3 linked regions of the Cricetulus griseus genome follow. The protein of the gene in region 3 purifies or fractionates together with the protein of the main gene of each other region. This does not show direct contact. Links are inferred from orthologs where the notes say so. Each region holds a gene or a part of one and is shown on either strand. Other genes may lie near its edges.

Region 1 (7,334 bases), on a different chromosome or scaffold from region 3:
TTGAAGATAATGACAATGTTTGGAGTTAGATGCATTAACTGAGTCAACAAGTGGGTAGAGGTGCTTGCCACCAAGTCTAATGTCCTGAGTTCACTCCCCAGATCCCACATTGTGAAAGGAGAGAACCAACTCGAGCAAGTTGTCCTCTGACCTCCACATGCACACCATGTGCCCAGACACATAAAATACATACTATCAAAACTTAATATATAATTTTTAGTTAGATAATGATGATCGCTGCACAGGTGTGAATTATGATTTTTTTTTAAATAGGTGAACTTTGAGGAATGTAAATAATCTTAATCTCTAAAACAGTTAAATGCCTTCCAGTAATGCTAGAACTTATGAATGACCATTTAAGAGAAGACATTTTTGAAGATTCAAAATAACTATCCACTCAAGAAGACCAGCAGACTATCTCAACCAAGTTAACAAGATTTATCAATGTCATGTACATGAGACACACTAAAAGGGACACAGTATAACCCTGTGGTATTCATGACAAACTGGGTAACACAATCTAATTGTGAGAAATGTAACACAATGCCATGATAGACATTCTACAAACAACTAACCAGGATAAAATAAGGAAAGACAGAACTACCCTAGGCTGGAGGAGGCTGAGACAGCACAAGTCAATGTAGTGCAGGAACCTGGAGCAGAGAAAAGGTGCAGTGTGGTGAACAAACACTGTAGCTAACCATGAAGCAGCAACATTCATTCCCTACTTATTGCAACTTGACCATGGTTACATCATCCCCTGGGACTTTTCTATTGGAATAAACTGGGCAGACCATCTTGTCACACTGGTGGTGGTACAAGGGACAATAATCTTGGCATCCAGGCACTCCTGTGTCCTGCATGTGGACACACAGATAGATAGTGGAATCAATGTGACAGCACTGGGAGGCGCAAACACAGAAAATGGAAGGGTTCAGAAGGATGGACCAAGTTCATCCTGCCCCCAGCTTAGATGTGAGTCAACTCTTTCTTCTTTTTTTCTCCCCTTTGTTGAAAGCCAACAGAGACTAGTTTCTATCATAATTGAAAAATTCCTAATAAAGTTTCACTAAAGATACTAATAAACTCCTCTTTAAAAAACAAAGAATAGAAAACAAAACTTTCAGGCAGGGCCATGTAAAGTCTACAAGAATACAGAATATGGACTGAAGACATGACTCAGCAATTAAGAGCACTTACTTCTCTTGCAGAGGAGCCCAAGTTCAGCTCCCAGAACCCATATTAGGTGGTTTACAACTGCCCAGAACTCTAGTTCTAGAGAAAGATGCCCTCTTATAGCCTCTGTGGACACCACATTCAAGAGCATGCATACACCCCCACCCCCCACCCCCCCCCCCACACACACACAATTTAAAAACTGAGGCCAGGTGTGGTGGCACATGCCTTTAATCCCAGCATTTCAGAGGTAGAGGCATTCAGATCTCTGAGTCTGAGGCCAGTCTGCTCTACATATCAAGTTCCTTACCAGCCAAGGCTAAGTAAATTTTTTAACCTTGAAATATATATGTGTGTGTGTGTGTGTGTGTGTGTGTGTGTGTGTGTGTATGTATGTATGCATGTATGTATGTTATGAGATGTATATATATATATGGACAATAAGGATGAGAAGGTAGGTTACACACAACACACTATATGTTACACTCCCTCTCTCCTCCCCTGAAAAGTAAAGAAACACCAAAGACATGCTGAGACAGTCTTCCAGGTCAAAAAGAAAGAAGGTGAATTTACTTGTTTTACACAGGAGTTTGATTTTCTAGCCAAAAGTACTGTCTATTGTGCATCTCTATCAAACAGGAGGCTTCTAATACCAACTTCAATAAACCAGGTTTGTCTTATACACACCTCAGCTTCAGCAGCTATTTCATACTTGGATTTCTTGCCTGGCATAGTTCGAATCAGATCCAACAGACCATCTTCATCAAGGATTTTTGTTCCCAAAGCTGTTGCCTGTTGATTAAAATACAAGTCATCAGAGCTCCATATAAACTACTTGTTGTTGGAGAGGAAATTTTACTTTAAGGCTTACTAGCAGATGAATCACCACACTGTAAATTAACACTAGAATTTATTTTTAATTATTTTTAAGATTTTGCCAGGCAGTGGCAGTGCATGCCTTTAATTCCCAGCACTCAAGAAGCAGAGACAGGAGGATTTCTGTGAGTTCGAGGCCAGCCTGGTCTCCAGAGCGAGTGCCAGGATAGGCTCCAAAGCGACACAGAGAAACCCTGTCTCGAAAAACCAAAACACAAAACAAAACAAAAACCTGTATGTTTCTATGTTAACAATATTTTTAAAACTAGAATACACAAAGAAAATCAAGTAAATAGCAACGATGCTTCCAATTAAACAAACCAAAATCTGTAGTCACAACCAAAAACACACATACGGTATGTGAAGAAGACAAAACTACAGGGTGAAGGCGTTCTTTCTCTTCTTTTTTAACTGTAATGTGGCCAGGAGCATTACCACAAACAGCCACACTGGCAGGCAGGTACTACTGTGAAGAGCGCCAGCAGGACCCACCTTGTCACTCTTGGACTGTCCGCTATCCCGGCCCATAACGAGATAGTTGGTTTTCTTGCTCACATTTCCTGTTACTTTGCCCCCATAACGTTCAATTAGAGACTTGGCTTCTTCCCGTTCAATGGACTCCAGCACGCCTGTGATCACAAATGTCAGTCCTTCCAAGCAATTTTCAGCTCCCTAAAAACCAAAATGTTCAAGCAGAGAAGAAATTACAAGGTAGCTTTCCAAAGAAATATAGCTGAACAAGCTGACTTGACATCATAAATAATGATGAATAAAGACCCCAGCATGAAACCTAGATAGAAATTACAGCAGAACCTCAAAGTAAATCCTGATGAATTCCTACATAGCTAACATTTAACACATACCAAATGAATGAGGAAAAACATACTGTTACCAAAATTAAAATTACCCATTCATGCAATTCTCCACTTTTCATATTTAAATCAGTAATTTGCTTTCATAGCTTCAAGTAAACAATCAAATGTAATCTGCCCACTGACAAGCCCACTGTTGTTAAAGTACAGCTTGGGTTCTGGAAAGCCTATCAAGTTGGAGCGTTTATCATTCTCTGATCATTACCCGACTGAGAGTGAACCTAAGAAACTGCTAGAAGCATAGAACAAAGATAACTGGCCATCTAAGAGCTGACCGGGCTTCTCTTCTTAAGTCTGAACTACAACTCCGTACAGTTATAGATTTTCAAAATTTTTATAACATCAACTAAATTATACAAACAAAATGGTCATTCTACATGATATGCCCTGCTCCTTATTACTCTGTGAATAGCACTGAGATTTTAAAAAAAGTTAAAGAAAACTGGAAGCATATTCCAGCGTAAGCTGATCATTCCTCTGCCACATAAAGAACCTTTCTTAGAACAAAGGAGGAAAGAATAGTTATTATTTACTGAGAAAGAAAGGGGAAAATGGCTAACAGCTTCTCTTCAGTCCTTCCATTTCTAGGAGTGAAATGAACTATTAAATCTTCACAACAGACTCCAAGTCACCCTGGAGAACTCCACATCAAGAAGCTCCTCCTTTCAAACCCCAAACTACTGTCTCCCTAGTGCTCTCCCACTAGAGCTCACAATATCATGTTACTGACCCAAGCTCAGCCTCACCAGCGTCCTTACCATCTCATCCATTAGACTCCTCTACAGCTCTGACTCCAGGAAACTCCTGGCAGCCTCTTCAACATTCCCTCACAGCCTTGCTGTCACAAAAACACAGCAGTCCCGTAGGGACACCATTTGCCCTAAAGTCCTCCAACAGGCACTTACTTGTTCAGTCTCTCAGCGTTACACCCTATACAGGAGGCAAGGCTGATCTCTTCTTCCAGCCCCTTTCCCTTCCCTCTAGCTACCTACCCTTTCTTCTTAGGGGAACTTCTAATCGCCTTATGTAGCAAAGTGAAAATTAAATTTAAATGTCTACCAAATTTATCTCCTAGATTCTCAGAAGCCCCATGGCACAGTTAATTATCCTTCCCTTGGGGAGGGTCTACTCCATCAGCAAGAAACACGTCTTAAGTACACCTCCAACCTTAAAAACATTCACCTCTTCCCTTAAATCCCACTCTTCATTTCTATTTCACAACCAAACTTATCAAAAACACGTCTCCATTTGTCACCTCAGACTCTTGAAGCCACTGCATCAGTTGTCTCTACTGTTCTTGCTGGGGCCATTAAGGACCATCACTCACGTTACTAAATACAATGGACAAGTCTGAGTCTTCTCATTGTTGCAACTTTCACAACATAGCAGATCATACCACTCAATCACCTTTCTTGCCTGCACTTCTCCTATACCACTCACATCAGACTTCTTTCTCACATCTGGGCTGCTACTTGTCAATCCCACTTTGGTTTTCACCCCCATCTTTATATAGAGGCTATGATAAGGCTCTCTTTTCTACAATTCCTAACAGTAGCAACAAAAAGTTTTATGTTGGGGTCACCACAAGAGTAACTGTATTAAAGGGTCACAGCATTAGGAAGGTTGAGAACCACTGATCTAAATGATCCACCCAGGATCATCCATGTTTCTCTACTATACTCTCTAAGAGCACCTAGGACTTTTCTCTCACAGCACGGTACTACAATCACTATCAGATATTAATGCATTTACCATGCTTTTCCTTAAGCTCTGAGTCCATGAAGGCATGGAAAAGCACATCCCTTCTCAGGCTACTTATTATTTAAAGGACACCAGTGAGTCACAATGTAAATAAGAACTTCTAATTCATAAAAAGGTAGCTGAGACCTTTCTGTTAATACTGGCTCTTTGCTGGAACAGGAGGCAGAGTAGCACAGAGTAGCACAATCCTCGTGACTCTTACCTTGGGTATTTCTTTGGAGCCCAGAGCTTTGGGACCTTCACGATTTAAGTAGCTTCGATAAGCTTGATAATTAGTACGCTTCTTTTCAGAATCTTCTGGACTTACAGACTTTGGACACAGGGAAAGAAAAAAAAGTCATGTAAAATTAAGATGTACCTAGAAAGAATTACATTTAATTTAGATGGATGGATGTGGATGGATGGATGGGTAGGTAGACAGACAGATATAAATGGAGATACATGTATGTGTGTGTATGTATGTATGCATGTATTTCTGATTCAGAGATACTGGATGTATCTAGCACGTGTATATTGGGGAGGGTCCCCTAGATAACTTTTAGAACTACTACATTATTTTTCCAATTCCTACTTTATATTGCTTTTAACTTAAATGTAACTCCAAATCTCTTAAAGTAGACAAAATATTCATTTGCATAAATAAGTGATATGATCAATAAGATAGTTAAGCTGGTTTTGAGTTAAACCAACTACTGCAGCTGATCTTAGAATCCAAGCCTTTTGCTGTTGTTGCTGAGACAGGGTCTCACTGTGAAGCCCTGACTGGCCTGGAACTTACTATGTAAACCAGGCTGGCCTTGAACTCAAGAGATCTACCTATGTTTGCCTCCTGAGTGCTGATATTAGTGGCATATACCATCACATCTGGCCCCAACCCTACTTAACAATGGCTCTCACCCACTAAAAAAAGTCCTTATCAAAATACAGCTGCCTAGACCATGTGCCCTGGGAAGCCATATTTTTAACAACCATATACAACTGGGAGCGTCACTCATTTGTAGTCGCAATTCTTTTTTTTTTTTTTTTTTTTTTTATTTCTTTATTATGTGCACAGTATTCTGCTTACATGTATGTCTGCATGCCAGAAGAGGGCACCAGATCTCATTATAGTTGGCTGTGAGCCACCATGTGGTTGCTGGGAATTGAACTCAGGACCTCTGGAAGAGCAAGCAGTGCTCTGAATCTCTGAGCCATCTCTTCAGCCCCCTGTAGCAGTAATTCTATCTTGTAAAAATGTGAAATAACTTTGGACTTTCTGCATGCCTACCTGCCTTGTTGTTTGTTCTGTGACAGGTCTCACTACGTAGCTGAAGCTGACCTTAAACTATCAATCCTCCTTCCTCGGCTTCCCAAGTCCTGGGATTACAGGTATGCACCACAACTGGCTATAAAACACCTGAAGCATATTCACTTACTATGTCAGAATTACTTGACTAAGATCAACTGAATTTACTAAACTCTAATGTTCCTACGTACGGGTTCTGAGTTACTGAGTCCAGCTTTGAAAACACCATAAAAATAACAGTATCACTTTTTTAAAACTTTTATCTCCTCCTCCCCCAAAATAGTCACCCTCTGTAAACTTCCCCATGTACTTAGTATGCCTGAAGAAATACCTTTCCACCAGATAAGTATTTAGTGAAGAAAAATCTGAGGGCAAAAAGTTAACTGATACTTCAAGCAAAAGCTAAAATTCAGATAGCAATTGTTACATCCCAGGCACTGCTCTAAATGGTTGTATAAATCATTAAACACATTTTAAAATTTTTTTATTACATTTACTTCGTGTGTGTGTGTGTGTGTGTGTGTGTGTGTGTGTGTGTGTGTGTGTGTGTGTGTGTCTGCGCGTGCGCGCGCGTGCACTACAACATGTGTGGAGGTCAGAGAACAAACTGTGGAAGACAGTTCTCTCCTTCTACCATGTAGGTCTCAGGAACAGAACTCAGGTATAGGATCCTTACCCATGAGTCATCTCGTTGGTGCCCAAGGCATCATCTTATGTCTATTCTACATCCACACAGAGATGTAACCAAATCAGGATCACGTATCTGTTCAGCAGTAGAGCTGTGATCTAAACCTGGCTCCAGACTGCTTGAAGGCTCAATGTTCACACTGCTACTCTGTCTTCAGAGAGTCAAGACTAGTCACAGATAATCTTGGGAAAGTTACTTAAACTCAACCTGTTTCTTCATCTTTACTACTTAAATAATAAAAGTAAATATCTCAAAGGTGAAGGCTATGGGATGTATGAATATGAGCACAGTTTCCCATATACAACAGCAATGAATAGTGGATCATTTCGCTATGTTAATAATGAATGTTCTCTAAGAGACTTAAAAGATATGTCTTCTGGGATCAAACACAGGGGCTCAAATATTTTAGGCAAGCACTTAGCTATACCCCCAGCTTCAAATTATATTTATTTTATTGTTGTTTTTTTTTTTCACATCCCAAAGTTTCCCCTCCCTCCCCTCTTCCCCAAATTATGTGTGTGTGTGTGTGTGTGTGTGTGTGTGTGTGTGTGTGTGTGTGTGTGTGTGTGTGTGTGTATAAATGTAGGAAGTTGAAAACAATCAAACTCAAACCAACATTTTTCCCAAAATACATACTTTTCATAAATTTCCTACCTCTTTTTTAACTGGAGAACTT
Region 2 (7,334 bases), on a different chromosome or scaffold from region 3:
TGATTCAGCAGTAATTCAAACTTTTTCAATTAAATTCTGGTGCTGGGGATGGACCTATGTACATACTGAGCAACCATTCTACCATCAAGACACATTGCCTGCCACAAGCTTTACCATGTACTACTTCATTTAATGGGGGGAGCGGGAGCTCAACTTTAATCCCAGCATTCAGGAGGCAGAGGCAGGCAGATCTCTGTGAGTTTGAGGCCAGCATGGTCTACAAAGCTAGTTCTAGGACAGCCAGAGCTACACAGAGAACTCGTTTCGACCAAAAACAAAAAAAAAAAAAAGAAAGAAAAACAAAACAATACGCCTAATTAACACATTTTTAGGACCGCTCCCTGCTGTGGAGAGCTTACTTTTCAATAAAATCTTGCTTGCTTGCAAAAAATTAAAACCAGTAAGTCTTGCCAGGCGATAGGGCCACATGACTTTAATCCCAGTCTTGGAAGACAGAGGCAGGCAATCTTTTGACTTCAAAGCCAGTCTGGTCTACAGAGTAAGTAAGTTCCAGGACAGCCAAGCCTTCACAAAAAAACCCATTCTCAATGCCCCACCCCCAAATAATAAGCCTTATACAGGTGTGGTGATATGTTGTGAAATAATCTTTTCACACACTGTGAAATTTGTCACTTGCATTGGTTTACTAAAAAGCTGAACAGCCAATAGCTTGGCAGGATTTTCAGGGCAGAAAGGATGCTGGGAAAAAGGGTGGAGATGTGGGAAGTCACCAGCCAGGCAGAGTGGGAGCAAGACATGCGGGAGGACAGTTAAATGCCCGAGAGTCATGTGGCAACACATAGGTAAAGAGAAATGGATTAAGTTATAAGAGCTAGCAAGCCTAAGCTATCAACCAAGTTTTTATAATTAATAAGTCTCTGTGTCATTATCTGGCAGTCCTGACAAAAAGGTCCAACCAACTACAAATGGCATTCAACGTGTGTGTGTGTGTGTGTGTGTGTGTGTGTGTGTGTGTGTAGACACCCTGTGTGTGTGTGTGTGTGTGTGTGTGTGTGTGTGTGTGTGTGTAGACACCCTGTGTGTGTAGACACCCTAGCCCCGCCCAATGGCAAGACGGACAGGTGCCAGGTGGACCCTGGACACCCTGTGTGTGTGTAGACACCCTAGCCCCGCCCAATGGCAAGACGGACAGGTGCCAGGTGGACCCTGGGCGGGGTGAAGGGAAGCCGGGGTGACTTAAGGGAAGGTTCTTAAGGGCTGCACGTGGAGACCTTGGCCCCTTCTCTCTGGCCACGAGCTTGGTTCCTGTGAGCTCGCTCTGGATTGCGTTTTGCTCTGGTGTTTATCTGAATAAAGAAGTCTTACCATCACGGACTATAGGTCATCTCTGAGTTGGCGCCCAGTCCGTCCCCCCCCCCCACCCGGGAGCGGTTCTAAATACAAAAACAGTCTAATTCAGCTTCTCAATCTCCTGTCTCTAATGCTGGCCATGGTACAGAAAGCTACTCCCAGCAGCTGCCTGAGTGCTTGAGCCACCAGTGCCCCATGAGCCCCACATGGTGAGTTTAAGTTTTTGCTGATGCAGACAGAAAGGTTACAGATATGTAATAAAAAGGGTTCAGACAGGGAAAACCTCTAAACAGGTTACAGTATATTTAACAATGTGCTTAAAAATAAAATACAAATAGTCATAGAAAAAATAAATAATATAAAAATAGTAAGTAAAATCTTTTTGTTGTTGTTTTTGAGACAGGGTTTCTCTGCAGCTTTGGAGGCTGTCCTGGAACTAGCTCTTGTAGACCAGGCTGGTCTCAAACTCACAGAAATCCTCCTGCCTCTGACTCCCGAGTGCTGGGACTAAAGACGTGCACCACACAGATAAATAGAAATGGGTTAATTTAAGTTTTAAGAGCTAGTGGGAAAAGCCTAAGCTAACAGCCAAGCTTTCATAATTAATAATAAGTCTCTGTGTCATTATTGGGGGCTGGCAGTCCTAAAGAAAAGGTTCAACTACAGTGATGCACATCCATAATCCAAGCAGTTGAGAAGCAGAGGCAGGAGGATCACTCATGATACCCTCTAGTCTCTATAGAAAGTTCTAAGCTATCCAAGGAAGACCCTGTCTTAAAAAACAAAAAAAGAGGATGGAAGGAGGAAAAGAAAAGAAAGGAGGGAAGATAAACCTACCTGCCTAGCATGAGCAAGGCCCTGAGTTTAACCCCACTCAGCACAGCAAAAGCAAATAAACAGAGAAAAATAATACTTCTTGAAGAAAATTAAAACTTGTCCCTGGATCACTATACCATCAGATAGGCCCAGTATCCAGGAATATACTCCATCATGTACTAAGGAATAACACTCAGCTGGGCAGGATGGAACATGACTTTAATCTCAGTACCAAAGACACAGAGGAATGGTTATCTTTGAGTTGGAGGTCAGACTGGTCTACATAGAGTTCCAGGACAGCCAAGGCTATATAGAGAATCCCTGTTTCAAACCAACAATAAAAAAATGCTCTTATGATTTATTTTTAATCTCATATTTGATGCACTCATATTTGAGGGCTATTAATATGACAAACAAGAATTTAGCAATAGCCGGGTGTCGGTGGGCAAACGCCATTAATCCCAGCACTCTGGAGGCAGAGGCAGGTGGATCTCTGTGAGTTCAAGGCCAGCCTGGTCTACAGAGTGAGTTCCAAGAGAGGCTTCAAAGCTACACAGAGAATCCCTGTCTCGAAAAACCAATAAAACAGAACAACAACAAAAAAAAAACAAGAGTTTAGTACTAGCTGGGCAGTGGTGGTATAGGCCTTTAATCCCAGTACTCAGGAGGCAGAGGCAGGCAGATTTCTTTGAGTTCTTTGAGTTCGAGGCCAGCCTGGTCTATAGAGTACTTCCAAGACAACTAAGGCTACACAGAGAAACTCTGTCTTTCCCCCCCCCCCCCCCCGAGACAGGGTTTCTCTGTGGCTTTGGAGGCTGTCCTGGAACTAGCTTTTGTAGACCAGGCTGGTCTCAAACTCACAGAAATCCGACTGCCTCTGCCTCCTCAGTGCTGGGATTAAAGACAAGGGCCACCACCACCCAGCTAGAGAAACTCTATCTTGAAAAACAAAAATAAACCAAACAAAAGCCAGGTTTGGTGGTACAGATCTGTCATCCCAGTTACTTGGAAGAGTACAGAGAGAGAGAGAGAGAGCATGTTTAACCATCCTGGGCAACCTAGGAGACCTTGTCTCAGGATGAAATGAGGATGGAGTCTTAGCTTGGTGGTAGACTACTTACCTATGAGGTTCAGTCCTTGGGGTTGTATACACATAAAAAACACACACATAAATAAACTGTATTTTAGAAAATAAATGAACTCTACAATGCTTGAAGAATTCCCCTTCCCAATTAACAATGCATGTAGAATGTTCCAACTTGAGAAGAAAAACAAAACTTTACCTAATGGGGCTCTCCGAATCAGAGGGTATTATTATTAATTCCGCTGTGTACAGGCTGTGTTTTTCTGACATGCTGGCTGCTTTTGGAGTGGAAGCTTTCACTGGACTAGTGTCCTGGGCATCCTCAGACTCAGAACCTCTACAGGTGACTGTGGCAGGCATGCTGCTGCCTCTTAGAGATCTCCTGGTTGATTTGGGTGTGGAAACGTTTACCAGTCTGTTTTCAGGCTCAGCTTTGGAATGTGTAACCATATCCCTGATTGGTGTGCTGTGTTTTCTTGATTTATTTCTGTCACACAGAGACTTTTTTAAAGAATCATGTGCTATATCCTCACAAACCAGACTTTCACTGCTAAGTATTGAATTGCTTTTGAAAACTTCAGACTTCTGCCTTAAACTCCTTCGAAGGCTATTTTGGTTTTGTTTATCTTTTGAGGAAAAGGATGTTTCTTCCTTTTCCATGCTTTCTTCTCCATTTCCACCTGGGACTGTCCTAGTGCCTATCATTTTCTTACCCTTTTTCTTTGGTTTTTTACTTTTCTCGTTAGGAAAACTTGCTTTATCAGTGTGTGACTGTGAACTGCCATGCTTTGAAACTATTTGGATATTAGGATTGTCTATGATTTTTTCAGAACTGTTAACACCTTCTTCATTTACAGATTTTTCACTTGGGTCTTTCTGCTTCTCCACAGGTTTCTTGAGCCCATTTTTGAGCAATTCTGATGGTGGCTGTCTGAATGCTCTCATGAACTGCTGTCTCTCTTCCACGCTGCATTTTGGTACTGAAACTTCAGAGCTCCCAGCTTCCAGCACTGCCAGTTCTAACTGGCCCTCCGGGATCACAACATTCGATTTTCTTTTCTGAACTGTCTGCTCATTCTCTGGGTCAGAGAAGCTACTCTCCAGCTCAAGCTGCTTCTGTTTCAAAAATATTGAGGGTATTTTCCCTTTCTTTTTAGGGGGAGTCGGGTGAACTTGTGCAAGAACAGTGACTGTCTTAAGGTGTACCTGTGGAGATAATTCACAGCTTTCTAATTCACCTTCAGAACCACTTTTGACAGCTTCATCAGGTCCAGAAGTAACACAAGCTGGCACTACAGGGTCAGGCATCTCTTCCACTCTAGCTGCCTTGTGACTTTTTAAAAATTCCTCATAGGAGACAGTTATTGTACTCTTGTTTAGATCAGCTATTTTGGTTGCACAAGCCCTGGAGTCTACATGATTTGCAGTCCTCTCGTTTTCATCGGCCTGGGAGGGTTTAGTCTGTTTACCGTCCTTGCCACCTTTCTTAGGCAGACTTATTTCGTCTGTCAAGGGTAAACTTTCAGACAGATCTAGTACCTTGCTGTGCTTTCTTTTTCTCAATCTTTTGCCATCATTTTTTGAGGTGCCTTGTTTAGGATTTCCTTTCTGGGAATTTTTTTTGGAAGTCATTGTATTGGGCTGGGTTCTGCTGTCTTGACTGCTTTCTTCAAGAACCTCTACATGTTTCTTGTAAAGGAAAACATCAGTCCTGCTTTCCACAAAATCACTTAAATCACAGTCCTCCTTACTATCACCACTACTAATTCCAACTGCAGATTCAATTTTAATGTCATTCAGTTGATGAGATAAATTAACTCTCTTTCCTTTTTTCTTAAATTCTGTATTTGAGAGCACTTCCAAAGGTGTCTTACACTCTTTGCTATTGCCAACAAGCAACGAGGGAGATGGCTTTATCTTGCACTCCTTTGTCGATTGTAGCTTCTCATCTGTGGGTGAAGTCTTTCTAAAATAATGAAGAATATTACTAGGTTTTGGTGGAGAGAAGACTTTGTCTCCAGTCTTCTCTATTGGTGATAAATATTTGGTAATTGTTTCACAGGAAGAGCTGTCATCATCTTTTCTCCGCTTTTTACATGGCTAACAATTTAAAAAAAAAAAAAAAAAAGGAAGGGAAAAACACATTTATTTCAAGTAAAATAATATGAACTATTAACTATAAATACAGATTTCACAGTTCAAATAAATGGATAGAAAAACTTCAAATGGCTACTTTGTGTGTATACATACAAGATGTGTGTGATATATGCACACACGTGTATATAAGGATGCATGCAGAGGCTGGAGAAGGATGTCAGGTGTCCTGATCTATCACTTTAACCTTATTCTCTTGTAGGTTCTCTCATTATACCTGGAGCTAGCTTGGTGGCCAGCAGGTCCCAACAATCCTCCTGACTTTGCTTACCTGCAACACTGGATTTATAGGCCTGTACAGCCACCATAGATGACTTGCTGGAGATTTGAACTCAGGTCATTATACTTGTACATGGAAGCATTCTTACCCACTGAATTATCTACCCAGCTCAGGAAGGCTACTTTAGGTGAAAAATTATACATTAGAAAAAAATTACCTTTAATGTTAAACCTACATTCAAATTTTAATGTTATATCAAGTTATATATGTAATTTTTATACTTTATACCACATGTGTATGTACTATACTTCAATAAAAAGTTTATATTGCTAGGTGTGGTGGTTTATGCCATTAATCTCAGTATTTAGAAGTCAGAAGCAGGAAGATCTCTGTGAGTTGGAGGCCAACTTGGTCAACAGAGAAAGTTCCAGGCCAGTCAGGCTACTGGACTGGTAGTCAGACCCTGCCTCAAAAACAAATGAACAAAAAACAACAAAGCTTATACTGATCAGCACTCAGGAATCTTGAGACTGGCAGATCTCTATGAGTTTTGAGGACAGCCTGGTCTACATAGCAAGCTCCAGGCCAGGGACTATATAGTGAGACTCTAGTTCAAATAAAACAAAACAAAAAATTCATATTGAAACAAAACTAAACTCATAAGAAAACAAATTTCTACTATTCTCTGATTATTTTACTTTATTTTGTGTTTTTGAGACAGTATCTTTCTATATAGCCCCGGCTGTCCTGGAACTCACTATATAGAACAGGTTGTCCTTGAACTTAAGAGATCTGCCTGTCTCTACCTCCCAAATGCTGAGACTAATGGTGTGAATCACCATGCCCTACCTACCCTCTATAACCTTAGAATAGCACTATCTACCTCACAGACTCTATACTGAATACATTAAAATATGTGGAACCTAACACAGGGTAGGGTTACAAACAATCCTTTCTGCTTTACTTTTTTGGTTAAAAATAAACACATCATTCTAAGTATTTGTAAGAAATAGTTATTTATTTAAGAAGCACAGAACCAACAAAAGAACACTTGTCACAAGTCTACTGTTTTAATTTGCTACTACAAGTCACTGCCTACCTCCTGCAGTAGCCATTACCCTCACAGAATCAAGGAGATTATAACACTAAGGACATTCCTTAGTGTTAGACATTCTCAGTCAGCAAGGATACTTGCATCCAGGCTAAACAGAAATCACAATGAGCCCAGGTATGGCTGACGAAGACTGGGCAAGGCACTGCCTGCTAGGAAAAGAGCATAAGACTCAAGGTGGACAATCATGAACCAGGTGATACTATCAAGAAAAACATAATTTTCATTGTTGTAACTAAGGCTGAGAATAACTGCCTAGGTACGCACAATCCTGGATTTGATTCCCACCACTACGTAAAACCAAGCATGATGGCACGTGCTTGAAACCACATCACTGAGGAGATAGAGGCAGGAGCATCAGAAGCTCAAGGTGAATTTAGTGAGTTTGAAGATAGTCAAGGCTACATGAGACACTGTTTGAAAGAAAAAAATCAATGACATAACTAGAAAAAGTAACCAACTTCTAGAAGTAGACTCTACTTGAACATGGATCAGCACATAGATTTAGCTCTATTCTCTAAATCCCTAGAGCAAATAGACTTTTGATGCATCTTGAGTATGACTAGGATTCATCCAGCTACTGGCTCACTAACAACTGTGATCCCATTTTTGGCTGTATATGTTTCTTCTAAAGGTTT
Region 3 (7,255 bases):
CACAAAGAGGCCTAAGATAAGGTGATGTGGAATTTATATGGACAATCATGGCCAAGACCACCTCACAGGTGTGGTCTGTAATTGGTATCGGCACTGTCTGTTATTGTGGGAGCCCAGGGCCATCTTCTGCTAGGCAAGCACTCCGCTGTATCCCCCAGCACTTTTCCCTTTGAGTTAGTGTGTAGGAGGGCTGTGCTGACAGATGGCTCTTGTCATCAAAGGCATTTTCCTATTTTTGGACAGTCTCACTCTATTGCCCAGGCTAGCCTTGAATACCTGATTCAGGCTCTCATCCTGCTTTAGTCTTATATAGCAGTTGGGACCATAGGCATGGGTCACATCCCCATAATCCTATGGAGTAGTCATTATTGAGCAATTTATAACCCTTCCCAGTCAAGAGTGCACTTCAGCTTCTGGAGTCTCCTATTTCTGGTCAAACTGGGACAACCACTACTGGGAAAACTCCCTAGGGCCTGCTAAGGATTGGTTTTTCTGTTGTTTCAGGACGAGAGATGGTCACGTTCAGTTCTGGACAGCCCCCCGTGTCCTGTCCTCACTGAAGCATTTATGCAGAAAAGCCCTTCGAAGTTTCCTGACCACGTACCAAGTCCTAGCACTGCCAATCCCCAAGAAGATGAAAGAGTTCCTCACGTACAGGACTTTCTAGCAGCCCGGCATCCCGACTCCTATAGCAGAAGCAATGCAAGGGACTGGCTAGGGTGGAGCCACCAGATCACACTGGACCTGCTGTGGACCTTTACCCCACTGGCACATGCAAGTAGGTCTGAGTGATGCCACTTGTGCAGTGCCAGCCTTACCTCGTCGTTGTCCATTGTGAGCAGCCTTTGTTGGTCTAGTTGTCTTGAAGCCAGGTGCAGTTGTGGATGTTGTCTGGGTAATAAAAGCAAGCAGGCTCCAGAGCCTGTGTGGTGGTGGCCAACTCCACACTCCCTTCACTGGGAAGTGCCTGCCATGCAGCGTAGTACCTGCTGCCCGTTTCCAGTCAGTGACTGCATGGTTTGAAGTTCCTCTGCTCTGGTCAGAGGAACATTCATATTTGGCACATGCTTCTGGCCAGGACAGTCCTATGGAACTAAGTTATGTTACTAAGCTGCAGGTGGACTGGGCTGTGCTCCTCACCAATACACCAATACTGGCTTTTATTTTTCTTTAAACAGTGGTGTGCATGTGTAGGAAATGACAAACAAGTACATCAGATCATATGAGGAGGTGTCCTCAACTGCATGACGGTCAGATGTCCATTTATCAGCATCATATTTATTTGTATTTTCTCAGCAGATATTAAGGTACAACTGTGTTTTCTCAGTGGTCTTTAAAAACCAAGAGTTCTTAAGTGGCCCAGTTGTGAAGCCATGTCTTAGTTGTGTGAAGTCAGTATTGTCACTGGCTCATGCTGTCATGTGCGTGTGTTTGTCTCTACTGCTTGACCTCATGGGATTCACCCTCCAATTCCAACTGCCCTAAACAGACAGCCCCTTCCGAGCACCGCTCTTCACCGGCAGCAACAGCTACCTATTCAAGATGCCTCACTCACACAAAATCTGCCTTAGGAAAGTTAATATATTTTAAATTATTTTAAAAGAAACAACACCTTACTCTTTGGCTTTTCTTAATTGATGCTTTAAGGGGCAGTGTTAACAGTGTACAGTGTGTGCAAAGAGTCTCCTCTATCATTTGAAGAAAACATTGCAAAACGAGGCTTTCATTGAAGGGAGAAAAGAGAACAAGAAAACTTGTCTCCGTTCCTTTTTTTCCAAACACCACAAAGGAGAACGGGACACTAGTAGGCAGTTCAGCCATGTGGCTGAGATGTTGCCTCCACCCCTGACCACTTGGCCACAGCTTTGAGCTCCACTGGGAAACTTGGGGAGCAAGTTGTTTATGGGCAAGAAAACAGATTTCTCACTTAGACGCATACGCTCAACTTCAAGGTCCATTGTGCTGAAAGTGTCTTCACCTCAGATGCATCTTACACAGCTAATCTAAGAAACAGCAGGTTGGTCATGGCGCACCAGGTGCCCTCCAGTATCTATAGCTGTGCACAGCCCCTTGTCTAGCTCAGGGAATGCACATGTTTCTCTATCATTGTACAGAGACCTATAGGCAACAGTTTGACAGCTTTCTAAGGAACAGCCTCCAAGGAGAGCTTATTCTGTGACACTAGTGACAAAGGCCTTGATAGGAATGTAGGTGGGCAGGCCAGCAGGCATGAGCAAGCACCTTATTGTGCTTACTGTGGAGGACTGATGTAAGCACAGCCCAGCTGCACAGGAAGGAGTACCTACAGCATCCCATCCCTCCCCAACAAGTGAGGCCTGCACAGCTACTAGCCCACAAAGGCACAGTCTGAAGGCTAACTGTATTTGACAGTTTCTTTGCTATTGTCACAGTAGAATTTGGAACCTGCTGGGAAGCCTTCAAAGAGAGAGAAAGACGGGTGTTTTGTTTCTGGTTGGATTTATCTCACTAGGCTGGCATGCAAGTGGCTGGTAATTCTGCCTCAGCCTCCTGAATTCTGAGATTATAGGTGTGCTACCACATTAGAACAGTTTTGATCAGAAACTCACTAGCACCCATTTAAAGCAGATACAAAAGTGAGAAAGTTTAACATCGGAGATGCAGACCTTGAGCTGAACAACACCTGAATCGTGTTCAACTTGAACATTACAATGCAGACATAACTGAGGTAAGGCCAATATTGTCACCCCAGCAACTGACAGTAAAGACTTTAGAGCCTCCCCCCCCCCCCCCCCGCCAAAGAATTATTTTCCCCTACAAAAGACAAGCATCGTGGATAGTTACAGATTAAAGTTGCTCTGTAGATCCCGGCTCCAAACAGCCACAGATAACACTGCCCAAATACCTGGGGAGAGACTTCTGTGACCGGCTTTATTCAGTGGCACAGGGCAGTAGTACTATACCGGTAAGCAAGTCCTCTGTCCTCTAGTCACCAATGGGCCTGAGGCAGGGCCATCAGGCCTTGGATCTGCTAGGCCTCTGAGACGATCAGGTCTCTGGTGACTTGAAAAGCAGCGATGAGGGAGCTCAGCTGTATCTTCTCACTGGTGCCGACGGAGAGTCTATACCTGAAGACACCAACCCCAGGTTGAGAATAAAGCATACAAGGCCCCCACCTGTGAGCTCGAGAACGTGAGAGCTGCTGTGGCCTGCCAAGGGGAGCCAGAGCTGATATACCTACTCTGGATAGCACTCCTGTCCGTGTCCTCCAACAGTCTCTTGCCCAAACACTCAACTCAGCCATCTGATTGACGATGCCGAGGACAGACTGAAAACCCAGAACCATCAGGTTCTAAATTCCACCCACTTCACCCTCCACAGACCGCAGGGTGTGTGATGAGGGCTTACAAACTGTGATAGGAGGACTTGGGAAGGGAGCTGGAGGTTTGTGGTTTAGGCAGTAAAGCAGGGCACTGGCATCATCTTGTCACTCCTAAATGCCTAGCCACCGAAAGCAAAATCACTCCCAACGTAGTGATAGAAAATGACCCAATTTGTCTACATGAGCCAGTTACAGCCTGCTGGAGCTGGTGATAGTGACATTCGGTCAGGGCCCAGTGTGCTGTCCACTTAAATGACAGCTACCAGTGTTACTAGGGACTAATGACAGTGTTTACTGAGCTGAGCAAAGTGGAAAATTGAGCTTGTTTGCTTTTCCTCCACTGTGCTCCTTCCTATATACCACAATGCCTTAATAAGCAGGGTAGCTGGGCACCCCCAAATGACCTGCATACCCCACCTGAAGCAGAGCCATGGGCTAAAGCTTGGAGGACTGAAGGGACCCTCTTGTTCAGACATGGGACTGAGCTGTGCTTGCCCTCTGTACTACTTCCCTGTGTTCTGCAGGCAGGGCACAGCCTTCACCACATTCTACTTGGCACTACCTCAAACCAAATCGCCCGTTTCTGAATGACACACAAGCCGAAGCCACACAAGCTGAAACTAAAAAGCTTACAACAGAAGAGGGGACATCCAAAGAATTAAAACCGGGAAAACACTCACTCAATGTCTGCCATTTTGGTTAATAAATGTATCCGAACCGAAGATGGAAAGTCAACTGGGGAAAAACAAAATCAAGTGAGTAAGGCCTGTCACTTATTGGTATAAAACAAATAAAACCAGAGGAAAGGTCAGGCTTAAGCATCACACACGGGGCTTCTGACAGGGTTGAGCCCCAGGCCCATGACAGGCCACCAGACCAATAGGCTAAGGAAGGTATAGGACCCATAGGCTATAGGCTATTTTGTGATTTTTGTTTTGGGGTGTGGCTCAGTGGAAGACTGCTGGCTAGCATACATTAGAAGATAAATTCCATCATCTGCATCACCAAAAACAAACAAGAACACTCAATCACACACAGTACTCATCCCCTAGTACAGTGATCATAAGAATACAGACAAGTCAATACTGTCCATGGTGGGTGACAGCTACATAGTAACTAGGAAGCCAAACTTAAGCACACTTTGTACTGGTTGCCAGATGGAGCCTCTCCATTTGAAGGAGGCTGCTGTCTCAAGAAAAGCTTCCAAAAGGCTATATGGAGGGGTTCCCTGGAGAGCCTCTTCTAAAAGCTTGCATGTGGTTCTCCCTACCCCCACCCCATGCTGACTGCATTATCTGGGGTGACTGGCAGGTATGGCCCAACCAGAGATTGATCCCCGGAACAAGGCAGAAAGCAGGGAACTTAAAGGAAGATCTGCTTGCAGATCTCCCCTTTGAGGGAGGCAATCCTGGAAATGTGATTCATGGGCTAGAGAGCAGCTTTAGGATGCCACAGCCCTGCGTGCAGATCCCCAAAATGAGGTCTGTGGACATAGCCCAGAAGTAGTAGGTCATGTGTATACAGGCATGTACAAGGGCTTGGCTTCAATCCCTAGTGTGGGGGACATGTAACAAGAGTGAAAAGTAAAATACAGCACTTGCTGCTCTAAGATGTTCCCTTGAGGAAATAGAGTTCCCCTATTTCTACTCACTCACCCAGCAGCTCCAGTCACTAGGAAGGGTTTGGAGCAAAGTTTTAACAGCAAGTCAGAGCTGCTGGAGATTAAGGGCCAGACACTGTTTCTGCATAGGAATGAAAACCTCACACCCTCTGTAGCCATCCCACAGCTATGCCTCCCCACCCCTCCCCACCATGGGCCACCACAGTTACCTCTGTGCACAAACAAGTGAACCTCTGTCAGGATGTCATGCAGAGCCAAGCCCTTCAGAGTCTTCAGCTCCATGATGTCTAGGGAGGAGCAGCTAAGGGAAGGGAAACCATTCCAGAACAGGCTGCAGGGAGGCTTCAACCCCAGCCCTTGGCGAGTGACTTCAAAGTGGGGCTTTTCATCCCAGCACAGACAGAAACCTCTCCACTTCTAGCTGCACACAGGCCCAATTCTAACTTGTCCTGTTTTATCTTCAATGAGGCTTTTCTAAGAAGCATAGCTGTCTCTTAAAGAGCAGAACAAACGGCTCCTTAAAAGATCACACCGTTATCTGTAGCCTTTCATTTCCCTGCAAAACAAGTTAATGAGGCCCCTTTAATGACTGCTTCCTCCACCCAAGGCCTAACTGAAGGGAGAAGCTACTTTTGGCCTCTCACAGGCCAGAGCCATTCAGTAAGAGAAGGGTACTCTCCACCTGGGGACACCTGCTGTCTACCAGCTGATACCTTCCACCTGGGTGGTGCAGGTGCTGGCTGGGCCCGAGCCTGGCAGCAGCCACAAGGAAGGATACGTCTGTAGGCAGTGGTGAAGTCTTGATTCAGCATCCAGTCCAGAATGTTGGCGATATCTGTCTTTAGGGGGTGCCCAGTGCAGGTGTACACGGTCTCTTCTGTCACCTTTCCAAAGGCCATGTTGGTACTCTGCAGACAGGAGGACCCAGGGGCTGTCAACAGCTGTCCTGCTGCAGTGACATGTCACTGTACTTTCCACACTGGAAGGGCTGCCCTCTGCTGCACAGCATCCTCCCCCAGCCTCTCTTGCAGCAGTTCTGAGTCTCCCTTAGGGGAACACACAGGCAAGAAACTAGTGTACAACAAGGCGAGTCTCACTGGTGCTAGATGTCTGAATGAATGTATGGATTGGCTGTCTGTCGGTCTTGTAAAGCTATTTCAAATCTATGGTTTAATATGCCCAGAGTGGGATCGTACCTGCAGAATGTTCAGAGCCCTGCGCATATCCCCACTGGACAGAGTGATGAGGGCCTTCATTCCATCTTCACTTATATCAACACTAAAATAGGCAAAGGAGTTAATTAAAACCCCATCCCCACCCCCCAAAAAGAGCACAAACAACATCAACTATGGGGAACAAAATGGCCTTGAATGATTAGGGCTTTAAAGGAAGAAAAACATCAGAACAGAGGTGACAACACTTTCCTGACCTACAGCATCCAGAAGCTACTGCAGTGCTTAGGGACACGTGTCACATGAGTAGCCATGCCCCACCCAGAGTCTTAACTGTGGACCAAGCCCCTAAGGAAGTGGCTGCTGTGAGTGACTTTCTCTGGAAAGAAACAGGCTACAGCTCTACATCTGACAGAATGGATGTCTCAGAACCTTCCCTTCCAGCCAGCTGGCAGCATCTACAAAAGGGACTTAGCAATAGTCAGTTCCCATGACACAGAGGGGACAGCTTTCAGGATGGCAGGTGAGTTGTCAAAAAAAAAAAAAAAGGGGGGGGGGCTCATGAGGTAAAATGACCAGGGCCCACAGAAAAATGACAGCAGCCAGCAGTCCCGAAGGCTTCCCCTTGGACTAGGCACTCTGCCCAGTCTTCATGCCACTCAATCCCCAAGATCCTCCCCCTTCCTTCTTGTAAAGCAAACTCACTTCTCCTCTTGTACTACATGCTCCAGGCGAGGAACCATGAGTTCAGGCGTCAGGGGGCCAAATCGGAACCTTGTGCACCTGGACTGCAAGGCAGGGATGATCTTGGACAGATAGTTACAAATGAGGCAGAACCTGGTGTTTTCTGTGAACTTCTCAATCACTGGGAGGAAAACCAAACACCTCACCTCAGATTCCACCCTGACTGTCCAGAGGGACCTCGGAAGGTTTAACAAGGTAAGAGCGGGAAGCTAGCTGCCTACGGGGCAAACAATGTTACTGGGTGTTGAGCAACAAACAGGTCCAGCTCAACCACCTTCCTGGGTAGATCTCACTCTGTAGCCCAGGCTGGCCTCAAACTCCAGGTGATCCAACCGATTCAGCCTCTGGAGTGCTGAG

Evidence for each region. The genes of interacting proteins can lie anywhere in the genome.
Region 1: the proteins of Rfc5 (region 3) and Rfc1 purify together in Homo sapiens (co-immunoprecipitation; 6 studies listed by BioGRID and IntAct, counting the BioPlex papers as one, with this or other methods). This does not show direct contact. The link is inferred for Cricetulus griseus from reciprocal best matches to the Homo sapiens genes RFC5 and RFC1.
Region 2: the proteins of Rfc5 (region 3) and Atad5 purify together in Homo sapiens (affinity purification with mass spectrometry; 4 studies listed by BioGRID and IntAct, counting the BioPlex papers as one, with this or other methods). This does not show direct contact. The link is inferred for Cricetulus griseus from reciprocal best matches to the Homo sapiens genes RFC5 and ATAD5.

The regions. Positions count from the first base shown.
Region 1 is NW_023276807.1:132,327,225-132,334,558, forward strand, and holds part of Rfc1 (replication factor C subunit 1), read right to left. Parts: coding exon 7,313-7,334; intron 4,996-7,312; coding exon 4,888-4,995; intron 2,725-4,887; coding exon 2,545-2,724; intron 1,969-2,544; coding exon 1,864-1,968; intron 1-1,863. UniProt on the Homo sapiens protein: Subunit of the replication factor C (RFC) complex which acts during elongation of primed DNA templates by DNA polymerases delta and epsilon, and is necessary for ATP-dependent loading of proliferating cell nuclear antigen (PCNA) onto primed DNA.
Region 2 is NC_048600.1:93,542,441-93,549,774, reverse strand, and holds part of Atad5 (ATPase family AAA domain-containing protein 5), read right to left. Parts: intron 5,312-7,334; coding exon 3,411-5,311; intron 1-3,410. UniProt on the Homo sapiens protein: Has an important role in DNA replication and in maintaining genome integrity during replication stress.
Region 3 is NC_048597.1:97,321,132-97,328,386, forward strand, and holds the end of Rfc5 (replication factor C subunit 5), read right to left. Parts: intron 7,094-7,255; exon of another isoform or gene 7,020-7,093; coding exon 6,860-7,019; intron 6,261-6,859; coding exon 6,179-6,260; intron 5,891-6,178; coding exon 5,761-5,890; coding exon of another isoform or gene 5,696-5,760; intron 5,539-5,695; coding exon of another isoform or gene 5,509-5,538; exon of another isoform or gene 5,494-5,508; intron 5,284-5,493; coding exon of another isoform or gene 5,270-5,283; coding exon 5,192-5,269; intron 4,097-5,191; coding exon 4,042-4,096; intron 3,108-4,041; coding exon 3,011-3,107; 3' UTR 2,604-3,010; downstream 1-2,603. Other genes in the region: Wsb2 (WD repeat and SOCS box-containing protein 2), read left to right, coding at 505-667. UniProt on the Homo sapiens protein: Subunit of the replication factor C (RFC) complex which acts during elongation of primed DNA templates by DNA polymerases delta and epsilon, and is necessary for ATP-dependent loading of proliferating cell nuclear antigen (PCNA) onto primed DNA.